3 linked regions of the Arabidopsis thaliana genome follow. The protein of the gene in region 2 interacts with the protein of the main gene of each other region in a pairwise test. Each region holds a gene or a part of one and is shown on either strand. Other genes may lie near its edges. The genes, in order: AT3G17090, AT3G53250 and LSM1B.

Region 1 (5,617 bases), about 14 Mb from region 2:
TTGCGGCAGAAAAAACCCTAAGACCTAAATTCATAAGTATGTATATAAACCAACACTTCCGGCGATGCCTAAAACATTCGATCTCTCTTAAGCTAGGTTTAGTTTGCTGTGTTTTTACTATGTTTGTATATGATCTTTTAGAATCGTTTTGTAGCTGATTGGATTCGCCTCTCAGATTGAATTTCCTGTAGAGTATTCAATATCTACGGGATGATTCTTTCATCGATTTTATTCGTGAGGCGATAGATTATTGCAGGGGCGTTGAGTCGCTTCGTCTATGTTTAACCAGGCATAGCGAATAAGCTCGTGCTATATCCTAATCAGTTATCGTTTCTTTTTTAAAAAAGCTTATTGAAGGATCCTATGATGGCATGAAATCTTTGAGACCTGATTTTTTATTGATGAAAAGCTATAAGCATTTTTACTCTGAGGATCCTTATAATTTTTTGTATCTGTTTCAATTTTTTTATCTGGCTAGAATAATTGTTGAGGGTCTAAGAAGGAAAAGATGATGAATATGCACTGGGCTCTGAGTTGTTGATTGACATTCAACTTCTTTTTGATGCATAATGCAGCCTAGAAAGCTTAATCTGATTTTTCTTTCATTAGTACTCTCAAAGGTTTTAGTATTAACAAGAACTTTATAGATTTATGGAATTGTATTTGATATTTTTTAGAAAAGGTCCATGAATCCATTTAATCAGAACTAACATTTAAGTCTTGCATAAGTAAAATGTTGAAGCCAAACGTTGCTCCACGACTTTGTTCTCCAAATCAAATCCGTACGAAAATTAAGTATTTCACCGAAACCGCAAATTTGAGATAGTATGAAGAGTTGACAACTGTGGCACATAAATATCGAAACAGTAATCCAAGAGCATCTTAAAATCTTTTTTGATCAATAAAGTTAAACCTAGAAATGTTGAAGAATAACCACTGTTCGGGAATGAAGAATAATTATAAGTTACCAAAACAATTTTGATTAGAGACTTGATGTTACATTCGAGAATAGTATGGTTACACGGCTATGTTACATTACATACTTTTGACGAACGGCAAGAAGTAAAAGACTTGGAACTCATCAGAACTTTGAAGAGAAACACCAAAAGTCAAACATAGCCGCTTAATACAAGAGAGAACTCATTACGTACGATAATGATGTTGTTTTTTTCATTTTTGGTTTTTTCCATATGTTGCCTTTTTTTTATTCATTCTAGGCAAAAGTCATATAATCAAGTAAGAAGAAACATTGTTGTAAAATGTTTGGGATTCTCAGTGTTCAAGAGCACTCCGTATAGAGACTGTTGTGTCTTGGGTTGAGTTGATGTGGCCTCTCGATATGAGGTCATGGTTCAAGAACACCACTATAACCGTGATGTCATCATGAAAATGTCGTCTCACTTTCTTGTCAATCTTCCTTAGATCTGAATATCTCATCTCACGTTTCCTCGCTGCCTCGTGAAGAGCCGCCTTTATCAGTCTCTTTGCGCTTCCCTGAACATAGAGAGAAACACACAATGCAAGAAATCATTTATATATTTAACGAATTTGTAATAATGAGGATTCTTGTGACTTGACTCGCTTAAAACTGCAATCTAAAACTTATCTAGACCAAAAACGCCATCTAAGAGAGAAATCAAAGTAGAAACTTACAGCACGGGGATGGTTATGAACAATCTCAACTGCTTTTTCGTTAGTCAAATGCTCCCAAAGACCATCAGATGCAAAAATGAGAAACGAATCATTAGGGTGCAGAGGATGAGAGAGTATTGTTGGTGTTGCAGACATCAAGGGTCTTTTCATTGGCTCTGCAATTCTGAACTTTTGACTGATTGGCTCCTTGTTAAATTCGGGCCGTTTCATGTACATGTCTCCTATAGACCTCGATACCTATATAAACAGCGAATCAAAGTTGAACAGTAAATACAGGGAATCATCAGAAAGTCTTAAGAGCTGCATGGTAGAGATGATTAATTATTGGTAACTAGACATCACAAAGAGCGTAAGACATATATTTAGCTTGTTCAGTACATATGTATGGAGTTCATCAGAAACCCATTACTTGCTAATTCTGCTTATGCACTACCTCATTACTTGCTAATTCTCAAAACTTTTTAAAGATTTGTACTTCTCAGACCTCTAATGAACTTTTCTATAGCTTATAAGAAAGGCCAAACCGCTCAAAGACTAAAAAAGAGAGAAGAAAAATGATTTAGCTCTTCCGAAACAAGCATAAGGTAGATATGTCAAAGTTTGCGAAACCAAAGAGAGTTAACACAACAAGGAACCTAGTTATGTCTAAGTGACTAATTTTACATTTTTCTTTTGGAAAATTAACATCACAAGGGATGGCAGGAGAATGAGAAACTACCTGAATGATGCCCTTAACTCTCCAAACTCCATGCCTGAACACAACGATCTGCGGGTCATCAGGATGTAAGTCCTTGAGTTCCCAACGAATATCTTCATTGTTAGCATTGTGTTCAGTCGACAGCTGAATAGCAGAGAGTCCGCCACAGTTGCCTTTCTTTCCAAGAACAACCCGTGAATCTCCAAGACTTGCCACAAAAAGAGTATTTTGATATATCACTCCAACCAAACAACAAGTGCCAACAGTTGCCAAATTTGGTATTTCTTGCCACAGCTCTGACACAATGGAAGCGAATCCTTCTTCTGTCGCATGAAAGGCTCTTTCTATCGTCTCTCTCGTCACAACTCCTTGTGTTTCCGCTGATATTTCTGCATAACCATAAAGCCTGAGCAATCAAAACATAAGAGAGGCTCAACCTCCTTTCATAATTACAGTGCACTCCTAGTTTGCTTAAGCCTGGTAATATTCATGACACTCCACCATCAATGCAAAAGCCAGGGACCCTTATCTAAATGGCAAAGAACAATCTCAAAGAACCAGGAATGCGAAATGCAAAGAGTCCTCCTATATATCAAACTGCATTACAAATACTCCTATATATCAAAGAGCATACTCATATCTAAAGTTTTACTATTTCTGAAGTCAATAAACACAGTTTTTAAATGCAAAGACTGTAGCTCTAAACTTGCATTTAGCTTAATGGGAACCTAATTATACCCCAACGAGATTAAAAAGTCAAAGTACCTAACTTTGTTGACCAATCACCATCTTCATCACCAAGATTTGAACAAAAAGTTCAGAATTAAGTCAACGGATTCATCTAAAATATGTATTTCCCCAAAAAACCAATTCAAAACACTCAAGCTCGAATGTCAAAATGACGAATCACTGTGTCAATGAAGAATCGGATTACGAACCTCGAAAATGGTTAAAGAGATGATCACAGACATAACGAGCAGCTTCAGGACCACCATGACCATCGTAAACACCAACAAAAGTCCCAAAATTACCGGATTCGACCTGGCTCTGATCTTCAAGAACCTGATTGGCTTGAATCACAGCCATGGAGAAATCTCCGCCGCAATATTTACCGAGATCACGGAACCAAAGCAATCCGTCTTTGCCTTCACCGCCGGTTCCACCAGAAACGCCACCACCACCACCCGATCCAGCTTCGGAATTATCACAGACGTGCCCGAATGGCTTGAAGCAGAGAGAAAACAGATTCATCAATGAACCTGACATTCAACATCTCTCGAAAACCCTAACCCCCAAAAACCCACTCCTCGGAACCGTGAGATTTCTGGGTATTAAGGGTTCGATTCAAAATCAGAGAAAAGGAGCGGGATTGGGTAATGGAAATGAGATCGGGAGAAGAGAATGATGGGAGAGAGAGAAAACCCTAGGTCTTAATGGAAGGGATGATGCGCAGGATAAGATGTTTTGGCGTAGGATAAGGGGAGAGGCGTAAGATAGAAAGTAGTAGAAGACGATGACGGACGTGTCTTGTCCGGTCGTAAAGGAACAAAGAAATTCTCGCTTGTAATTTTTTGTCTGATGAGGAGAGAGCGATCTTCCCTTAGCTGTCCGACCATTTTCTTTGCCTATACTATTACACAACTGTTGTGTTGCCCAAATTAAAAAAAAAAAATCTAACAAACTAAAAACTATATTATTAAAAGAAAGATGAAAATTTTGTTATATATGTTTACTAAATCAAAATTTAATACAAATTATAATGTAAAATATTTATATGCAAGTTCTTTGCATTATTTTTTTTAAAATTTGGGTTTGACTCAATAGACTTTCTACTTACTTCTTTTGCTAAATCGGAAATAAATATAAAAGAGATAAGTTTCTAGATGTAATGCATTTCACTTATGGGAGTAAATCTTCACCAATTTATGTCATTGAAAGTATATGTTTTAAGATAATATTTCACTTCCACTACTCGAGAAAAGCCTTCCCACGCGGGTTTAGTTTCCTCCATTCACCAACATGCGTTTAACTATGCCATTTGGTTATGTCGAATTATACTAGTTTTTTTTTTTTTCTGGTTTTAAATTACACTAGATTGTGCACTACGTTTGACTCATTGAGTTTCGGGGTCATGAAATGGGACTCTAATCGATATGCGTTTAGTTAAGCACAAATGTATAATTTACATAGTTGTTCTTTCGATCAACACTTGTTCTCTATTTATTTATAATTCTTTTTTTTTGTTAAAAAATGAACGTTAAGCATAAAAGAAAAGCTCATTGTAGTTCACATTATATTCTTATAATGTTTTGTTACTTCGCTCTAAAATTATTTGACTATAATTGTGTCATTAACAAGTAAAAAAAAAAGAAAACGAATTGTAGGTCAAACCATAAAATATCATATTAAGACACAATTACCTCATACAAAAAAGAAAAAAAAAGGTAGAAGAAGAAGTAGACAGACATAGATTGATAGTTACGACATGTTTTATAAAATAAGGATATTAATCCCAAGAATAGCAATGATCAAACATGCCGGTCTTCTTATAAAACTTGCAAGGTCCATTTTTCCGTATTTTCCATTCGCATTTTTTGCAACCAAACTCTTGAAATTCTTTGTCTCTACTCTGTTTGTAGATATCAAATATATGACTCTCAGCTCCCCAACTAAAACGACAGTAAAACAAAGTCCGGCCAAAAATATCCGGTGTAAATCCAAACGACCACGATCTACCTGGTGCTAAACTCTGGTATCCAAGATCATCCTCTCTTGATTTGCAGTGGTGCCGTAGTGGCAAACCACCTCCAAGATCATTATAAATCACTACACTCGTCGAGGCTCGAGACATAATTGCACTCATAAACATAACCATTACAAAGAAAAGTAAGCATGTCTCAAGAGAACCCATAATTCGTCTAAACTTTTTTTTTTTTTAATCCTGGAAAATATCCAAGTATATGTTGATAACTATTTCAATCAAACTTGTTCAGTATTTATACTGTATAGGTAACATCTTTTTGCACAAAAAAAAAGGTAACATCTTAAGTCAACACTTTCCAAATTATGATCCATGTTTGTTTTGACACTAACTTTTTTTAAAAAAAATATCCAAGTATATGTTGTTATATGATCAACACTTTCCAAATTATGATCGCTACAAGAGAAACGGTATTTGACGTCGGTCATTATTGACTTTAACGTCATTTTCAAACTGACTTTAACATAATAGCGTCGGTTTAAAAACCGTCGTAACATTGCATGACG
Region 2 (3,499 bases):
TATGATATATATGATATAAAAACTTACGTGTAAAACTCGTTGTTAACTTGTTACTTTTTATGTTGGTAAATGTGGATTTGACACCGTTGACAAAAGACTTTATGATTTATTTGTGTTTGGCTTCAAATGTATGTTTCTGGCCTTTCTCTAAACATTTCGAATCCTTTTATGTGAGTTTCTCTTTTTAGATATTAGACTAATATCTATCCTATGCATCTCATGGCCATTTCTTGGAGCCTATCGTGCAATAACAAACACATTATATCTTCTTTGTCATAATCTTTCATTTGCGAGTAACAAAAAAATCTTACTTCTTGACATTCATCCATTTTAATGATGTAGAATAATACAGATACAATTGATAGAAACTGGAAGTTGTGTCTGTTCTCTGACAATATCTGCATCAGAAAAGAGTTCAAGTTTGCTCTAAACTCGAATAAGATAGCTGCAAACTCATTCCCTTTGGCTAGTCAAGACAATTGCTAGAAACTGAAAGTTGTTTGATTTTCTGACAATATCTACATCAGAGAAGTTCAAGTTTTTTTCTATGACACAGAACAGAAGCATGATCAGATAATGTTGGAAGTTTTGCTATTTGTCTTCAGATATTTGTCATAGTCTTAATGTTTCAGTTTATTTGGAAACATTTGAAAATGTAACATGTTTAGTGAACACTCACTTATATAATACGATAGATGATTACTTATATTACGAAAACTCTTACTTAATTAGTGTACAAGATTATCTAAATCAATCCTCAACATTAATTCTCTCTAGAAACATAGAACCGGATGATGAATCAAAACCAAATGAATATGTCTTTTGAATCCCTCCCTTCTTAACATTACATGCCAATGCAGTTTCTCTGATGCTGAGGAGCGCCACTGCAACGAACAACATCGAGAAAAGTGTTCTCATCACATGGAATCCATAGTCTTGATGAATTATAAGCATCTTGCGCTTGATCAAGCAATGCTTTAAAGATTGGATGAGTAAGCAAACTCATCTTTATCACAAACCTCTTGTAATCATCACCAACATACACTACCAAATGTCCTCTCGGAACATCTTTAGGTATTGCTTCATTTTCCTTCTTGAATCCCCAAGAAACCTTGTCGCAGCAACTCTCGCATGAAGATGTACAACAAGGTAGAACTATGGATTTGCTCTTCATGATTCTGAATTTGTTTTCGCATGATTTTATGAACTTGTTCTTCATTTTGAGTATAGAATGAGAGGTTTCGAATATGAATGATGAATAAAAGAGAGATAGAGATGGTTTTGTGATGAGAAGTACAATGGTGAAGTACATGTATATATATAGATGATTGATTTACAGAGCTTAGATAGAAATGAAAAAAATCTTAGGTCCATAGTGATATTAAATGTAATGTTTTTTTGAGTATGAGATGGGCAAGATTTTTTTATATAAATGGTAAGATACATCACGAGGGCTTTAAATTATGAGAATTGTTTGCCATTTTTTTTTCACTCGTGCGGTTCCGTTATTTTCCCTCATAAAACTGAAACTGTACGAACATGCATTGCATTATTACAATTGCAAATAAGAAATGTTATTTTCATCTTCTCGACTGTAACTGAAATCATGGGAGCTAAGACTTGTAAGACCCCACAAAAGAAAGAATTGAGAGATAGAGAGAAGATAAGGGAAATGAAGAAGAGTGATGGGTTTTAAATCTTCTTGGACAAAGTGTGATCTCGATTTATGATTCATGGATTTTATGATTCTAAAATGTACTCTCTTTTCTTTTGGTGATTTCTTGAAGATCAAGGCTTTAGTTGAAGTGACTTCTTGAATTAGCCTAATTTGTCTATAAAAATCCAATGTTCATTTAAAAAAAAAAAAAAATCTCAAGCTGATTAGCATGTGAAGATTGATTAGGATCATTCTTGTCTAATGGTTCTATGAATAGATATATGATAATAATATATCTAAATAGGTCTGCTTTTTATTTTGTTTTGTGATTTTTCTTTATGCATGGATTGCAAGTGTAGACTGATAAAGAAGTGTCAGCTTTTGCAGGGTCCAATATGATTGGGAAGCAGCACAGAACAGAGCAGATCAACTATTCATTAGGATTCAGATTCATCCCCCCGAAATAGCTGAGTATGAGAAGAGCAATCATTCTTTCTTACACATTACTTATGCAGATGAGCCTATGGTATGTTCTGTTTTTTTCATCCCAATAGGTGTCAACTAGGACCTAATCTAAAATTAAGCTTGTTTAATGTAGAACAAAAGAAAGTTTGAGCTGGTTTTAGTGAAAATATAATATGGTTTTATCTTTTTTGGGTTATGTGGGATTGGATTTGGAAATCAGATTATCTTTTGGGAGACATTTTCTATTTGGTTTCAGATTTTTTTGTTTTGTTAACAACATGCATTGTACAGAATTGAATTTGGATGGTGACACATCAATGACACTAATACAAACGATTATGCTTCATGTTATGCGGTTATTTGGTTTTAGTCTTTCAGATTTATTCTCTAAGTTTTTTTACCATCTGTATTATTTTGTTTGTTTATAATCATTTTCTAATGTTTTGTCATGATTTTGATTTCGAAACTATTTCAATCAAAATTTGAGCCTGACAAACTAAACATATAATCATCAGCTTCAAATTTTTTTAATATATATTTGTTTTTATAACTCTTTTTTTATACTTTTTGTTAACAAAATAAAAATTTGAATCTATTAAAAGTTTTAAACTAGCCTTTGGACCAGACAGAACTGATGTATCATCAGACCCGGGACGGTCAAGCTGGTTTGAGATAAGAAGGAGGGCCATTTCTAAAAAAGTAGGCTGGCTTCGTCTGCATGAAATTTATTGTGGGAACGTGAGGCTTTTATGATGTTTGTCTTTTGAGTCTCATAATTCTTACAAATAACCTCATTCGATAACCAGGAATTATTTAAACTTTAATTAACGAAATTACCAACCTTTGATTTAGGATCAACAATACCCTAAATTTTAATTGTGAAATGAATTTTATAGCCAGCCAGCCCTTTGGAGTAGGTTTTCTTTCATAAACGTCAAACATAACAAATACTAGTCAAAATATAACAAATCTAATTTTCACGAGCACTAATGCTTTCGTTTGCCCTTGTCTATGGGCTTATGAACTCAGTTGCTCGTATATTCTTCAATATTTTTGGTTTATCAAAAAATAATGAGTAGTTGAGTTATCGATATGTTCAATAGATATTTTAGTTAGTAAGGAAACGGTGTTGTAACTTTTTTTTGTTATAAACTTGTAATGAACGTGTACTTAAACATTACATCATAAGATCGGGTCACGATGGAGTAATGTACTTATTTCATACTCGGATCATCGATCGATTAGCGACTCTTGGGATCAAACCCTATTTTGACTTTGATTATTTTGAAAGAAAATAGAAAAAAGAAGGGCCTAGATGAGGTAGCCATACCCTTATTACACCCACAATTATTTGATTTGACTTTCCCATGTGTCTTT
Region 3 (4,148 bases), about 15 Mb from region 2:
AGATGATTGGAGACCATTATTTAAGGAAACTCACTGGGATATTTAGACATGCTGCCACAAACTACCAGAGAGCTACATGGGTCAGAGTACTGAATAGTTTGAGAGATGAAGGATTACATGTGAGTGGGAGTTTCTCCTCAGGTGTATCAAGAAGTGCATTAAGAGAGAGGTTTAAGGCATTCAATACAATGTTCGAAGAGGTTCACAGGACTCAGTCCACATGGTCGGTTCCAGATGCTCAGCTTAGAGAAGAACTCCGAATATCGCTATCCGAGCATCTAATCCCTGCTTATAGATCGTTTCTTGGAAGGTTCAGGGGTCATATAGAGAGTGGAAGACACCCTGAGAACTATTTGAAATATTCGGTTGAAGATATCGAGACCATCGTTCTAGATTTCTTCGAAGGATATACCACACCACCACACTTGAGGAGGCGATAAAAGAAGATCGAAAACCCGAGAGTTCTATCTTCTTTCTTTCGTTTTTCAGTCACATTAGGATGTCATAGAAATAGAACCATTCTTTGAATTTTTATTCACGGGTTTCCTGCCCGGTGGAATAATCTCCAGGTGAACATATTTGTGTGTTGTTGTTTGTGCCATATGTCTTCTATTTATAAAAGTCCTGATTGATCACAGAACCAATAAGTACCATGTAAATTTTGCAATGTGCGACGTCCTCTACTCATTTGCTCCATTTTTGTTCCGTTTGGTAGTAGCCATAGGCAAGCTCCTTGTTTAAAAGTTCCAAAATAGAGAAAGAAATTGCTTAACATTTTTTTCTTAAAAAGGTAAATAGATCCAAAGACAAAAGTACACAGATTTATTGTCATATTCATCCAAAATGAAACACAAGAATTGCGTCGATCCCCTAAGTCAACACACCAAAAAGGCTCATCATAAAACTTGCGAGCCAAAGCAGAGCATCAAGCCAATAATGAATGGGGATACAATCTGGTTTAATCAAAGTCAAGAAACTCCATTCTCTTCCTCATTGTTCCTCTCAGCTCACTCGCTTCCCTCTCCACCTTTTGTGCCTGCATCAACAGACAGATTCCCGAAAACCAAATCATCAGCACGCACACAGCATCACAAATGAATCAAATTTGGCTAATCAAAATGAACATGTTATGCGATGTCTTACCCTTTTAATCTCTGCCTCTGAGACGCGAATCATATGTGGAGGAAGCTCTTCTCTCTCCGTGTCCTAATACATAGTTTAAGGTCAAACTCAGTGAATTGGAAAACACGAGGTGACACAGCAAGAAAAGACAAACAAGGAGAAGTCTTACCAGCTCACCAATCAAAACAACATTCTCTCCACGGATTACATAGAGGCCTAAAGGAATGTCACAGTATTGTTCACCAACAATTACCCTCTCACACGCACCTTCTAGAACCGCATTGGCTGTGTATTTACAACGAACAAAAAAAAGTCAAATCTCTCCCGCTCATCAACAATATCGTAAATCTAGAAACATGGAAAGAAAAGTGAATACCGAATTGATCAAAGGAACGGAGTGTTCCCATTAGCTTTCTACCATCTCTAAGAAGCACAAGTAGTTTTCCTGCATCATCAAGAGCAGAGCCAACATACATAAGTAACTGATGCACATTGATTCATATCTAAAAAAGAAAACGGTACGCCAAATGAGATTGAGAACTAACTCATAGCCCAAAAACATCAGCAAAAGAAGATCATTGACTTTTAAACTCAAAGAACCAACATCAAAAAGCCGATAGTGAATTAAATTTCAACAAAGGTTAAAGTTTATACTTCGTAAGTTGAATAAAGAGTGAGCCAGCAACCTCAATCACATCTAATCTCTCACGCATGCTAAAATTTAGCTTGACAACAATAACTGATGAACAGTTAGATTTGACCCAATTAAAAAAAAACTAAAGCTTTGATTCAATAATCAATATCTTAATCAATGAATGTCTCTTTGAGACAATTCAACACCAAAATTGACAAGCTTTGGATACAGCCACAAAATAGTACAGCCTATATATCAATAAGAAGTCAAAATCAAACGTCAAAAAAACAGAGAATTGTTTGCAAAATTGAGCTCCCAAATGCGTACAGAGCCATCACGGCCAATTATTTTAACTACATGCATTCATACGGTTCAACAAATATGTGAAACAGAGAGAAAGAGAGACGGATTTACTATCGAGATAACTAGCGAGTGATGTTGAAAGATAAATTTCTTCAGGACCAGCCCACGACATCGCCACTGACTTTGAAATTGAAGAAAACTTTCGGTCTTTCTATAGAACACTACCGATGATAATAATGTTCGTCAGATTCCAGCTGAAGAGATAAGATTTGGCTATTGAACGCGAACTTTGACAGGAAAAAAAAAAAGTGAAGACGGAAAGAGAAATCTAAATTAGGGTTTTGACCAAAGGGTTTAAATTGATAAAGTGATTAAAAAAGATTGAGACTTTCGACACCTGATCGAAGACGGACACGGGTTCTTCAAAAAAATATAAAACCCAGATCCGATCGAACTTTGGCTGAGAAAATTTGTTTGTGGAAAATTCGAAGAGAAAACTAGCGAGCAAATCCGTCCACTGTCCCTTTTTTATTATTTTCAAGCAATGTCCACGATTTCTTAACTCGATAGATAAGACGTTGTACTTTAATACTTTAAGCACTTTCCAATTTAATGTTAAATTTCCTAATAATTATTGTGACTGAATGTTTCTTAAATAAATGAGACTAATCTTCCAAGCTAATAAAATATCTGTTTCGAATAAATTTTAATTTATGGACCAAAAAAGTCGATTTAACACTATTATTATTTACTGCTTGATTTATGTTAAAACGCTTTTATGGGTAAGTCATCCAATAATATATTCCCACGTAAGCATCAGATCTCGGCGGCGCGAAACTACGCGGCGTTCGCTTAGCACAAAAACGTAGCGCAGTTTATTTAAAGCAAAACAAAAAATTCTGTTTTCACACTTTTGCATTGCAGCATCTTGTAGCTAACAACATCATCGGAGAGAAAGCAGCTTCCCCTTCCCGGAGATATCGTACATAAGCTAAAGCAACCTTAACCTTCCTTCTCCACTGTAAAACCCTCAAATTAAGGTCACGATTTCGTCTTATTTTTCCAGGTTTGATTCACAAAGAACTTCGTGTTTTAACGATGCTATTCTTGGGGTAGGATTTAGGGTTTTGTTTCTATAGTTCACCGATCCTGTTCAATTTTAAGCTAAATCACATTCAATTTTATGATTTGCATCGGTTAAAAGACGCGATAGTTATCAGGAGTAGGGTTTGTTGTGGTATTCGAGAAGTTTCAGGAAAGTGAGAGTTTTCTATTAATGGCTTCTTTTTTTTGTATCCCGAATTCTTTGGGGTTAATTGGTGAAAAGAATGTTCTTTGTACGAAATTATATCCAATTTTCCAGCTTTACATGTTTTTGGAGATTTCTGGAATAAGTCTGAGATACTTAAGAACGCATCTGGAGATTGAAATTGTGGCATCCAATGTAGTTTCAATCGATTTTGTCTTTAAATTTTGTATTCTTATTAGATTGAGTTTCGTCTTGGATTGAGCGAATTTGTTTCATTGATGATTTTAGGGATAGATTGATCATGGCAACTGCAACTATGGCAACAGCAGCTGGAGCAGCTGCTCTTTTATATTACACGTTGAATCGGAAATTAATAGCTGGTCCATCTGACGTTGACGATGAGAATTCTGAAGCTTCTGCTTCTCGTCCTTCTTTGAGGATTGACCGTGTTTCGCATAGGCTTATTCAAGCTCCGGCAACTTGGTTGGAGACTATTTCTACTCTTTCTGAGACTCTTCGTTTTACTTACTCTGAGACTCTTGGGAAGTGGCCTATTGGTGATCTTGCGTTTGGGATCAATTTTCTCATCAAGAGGCAGGTATAACATCTCTTCATCGTTTTAACGGTCTTAAGTTCTGGATTTTTTTCTAATTATCTTGTGGTCAAAATTGAACTTTTTGTAATTGTGTACCTAAAACCGTAGGGACTTCTACATGTTGATCGTGTCTTTGGTGGTAAAGATAGTGTAGAACTTAGAGGATCAGAAGTAGCCACTGAACTCAAATATCTTTTGCACTTGTTGACATTGTGTTGGCATTTTTCCAAGAAGTCGTTTCCGTT

What was found.
Region 1: the proteins of AT3G53250 (region 2) and AT3G17090 interact in a two-hybrid assay, tested with the Arabidopsis thaliana proteins (one large-scale study listed by BioGRID).
Region 3: the proteins of AT3G53250 (region 2) and LSM1B interact in a two-hybrid assay, tested with the Arabidopsis thaliana proteins (one large-scale study listed by BioGRID).

The regions. Positions count from the first base shown.
Region 1 is NC_003074.8:5,824,983-5,830,599, reverse strand, and holds AT3G17090 (Protein phosphatase 2C family protein), read right to left. Parts: upstream 4,015-5,617; 5' UTR 3,617-4,014; coding exon 3,289-3,616; intron 2,740-3,288; coding exon 2,372-2,739; intron 1,891-2,371; coding exon 1,654-1,890; coding exon of another isoform or gene 1,650-1,653; intron 1,495-1,649; coding exon 1,273-1,494; 3' UTR 700-1,272; downstream 1-699. Other genes in the region: AT3G17080 (Plant self-incompatibility protein S1 family), read right to left, coding at 4,857-5,261. UniProt on the Arabidopsis thaliana protein: Dephosphorylates and represses plasma membrane H(+)-ATPases (PM H(+)-ATPases, e.g. AHA1 and AHA2), thus influencing negatively plant growth and fitness. Promotes the apical hook maintenance of etiolated seedlings.
Region 2 is NC_003074.8:19,740,643-19,744,141, reverse strand, and holds AT3G53250 (SAUR-like auxin-responsive protein family), read right to left. Parts: upstream 1,456-3,499; 5' UTR 1,313-1,455; coding exon 845-1,312; 3' UTR 559-844; downstream 1-558.
Region 3 is NC_003074.8:4,665,800-4,669,947, reverse strand, and holds LSM1B (Small nuclear ribonucleoprotein family protein), read right to left. Parts: upstream 2,641-4,148; 5' UTR 2,457-2,640; exon of another isoform or gene 2,347-2,456; 5' UTR 2,232-2,346; coding exon 2,171-2,231; intron 1,619-2,170; exon of another isoform or gene 1,599-1,618; coding exon of another isoform or gene 1,568-1,598; coding exon 1,499-1,567; intron 1,408-1,498; coding exon 1,292-1,407; intron 1,207-1,291; coding exon 1,144-1,206; intron 1,037-1,143; coding exon 959-1,036; 3' UTR 754-958; downstream 1-753. Other genes in the region: EXO70D3 (exocyst subunit exo70 family protein D3), read left to right, coding at 1-440; AT3G14075 (Mono-/di-acylglycerol lipase, N-terminal;Lipase, class 3), read left to right, coding at 3,610-3,906, 4,012-4,148. UniProt on the Arabidopsis thaliana protein: Component of the cytoplasmic LSM1-LSM7 complex which is involved in mRNA degradation by promoting decapping and leading to accurate 5'-3' mRNA decay.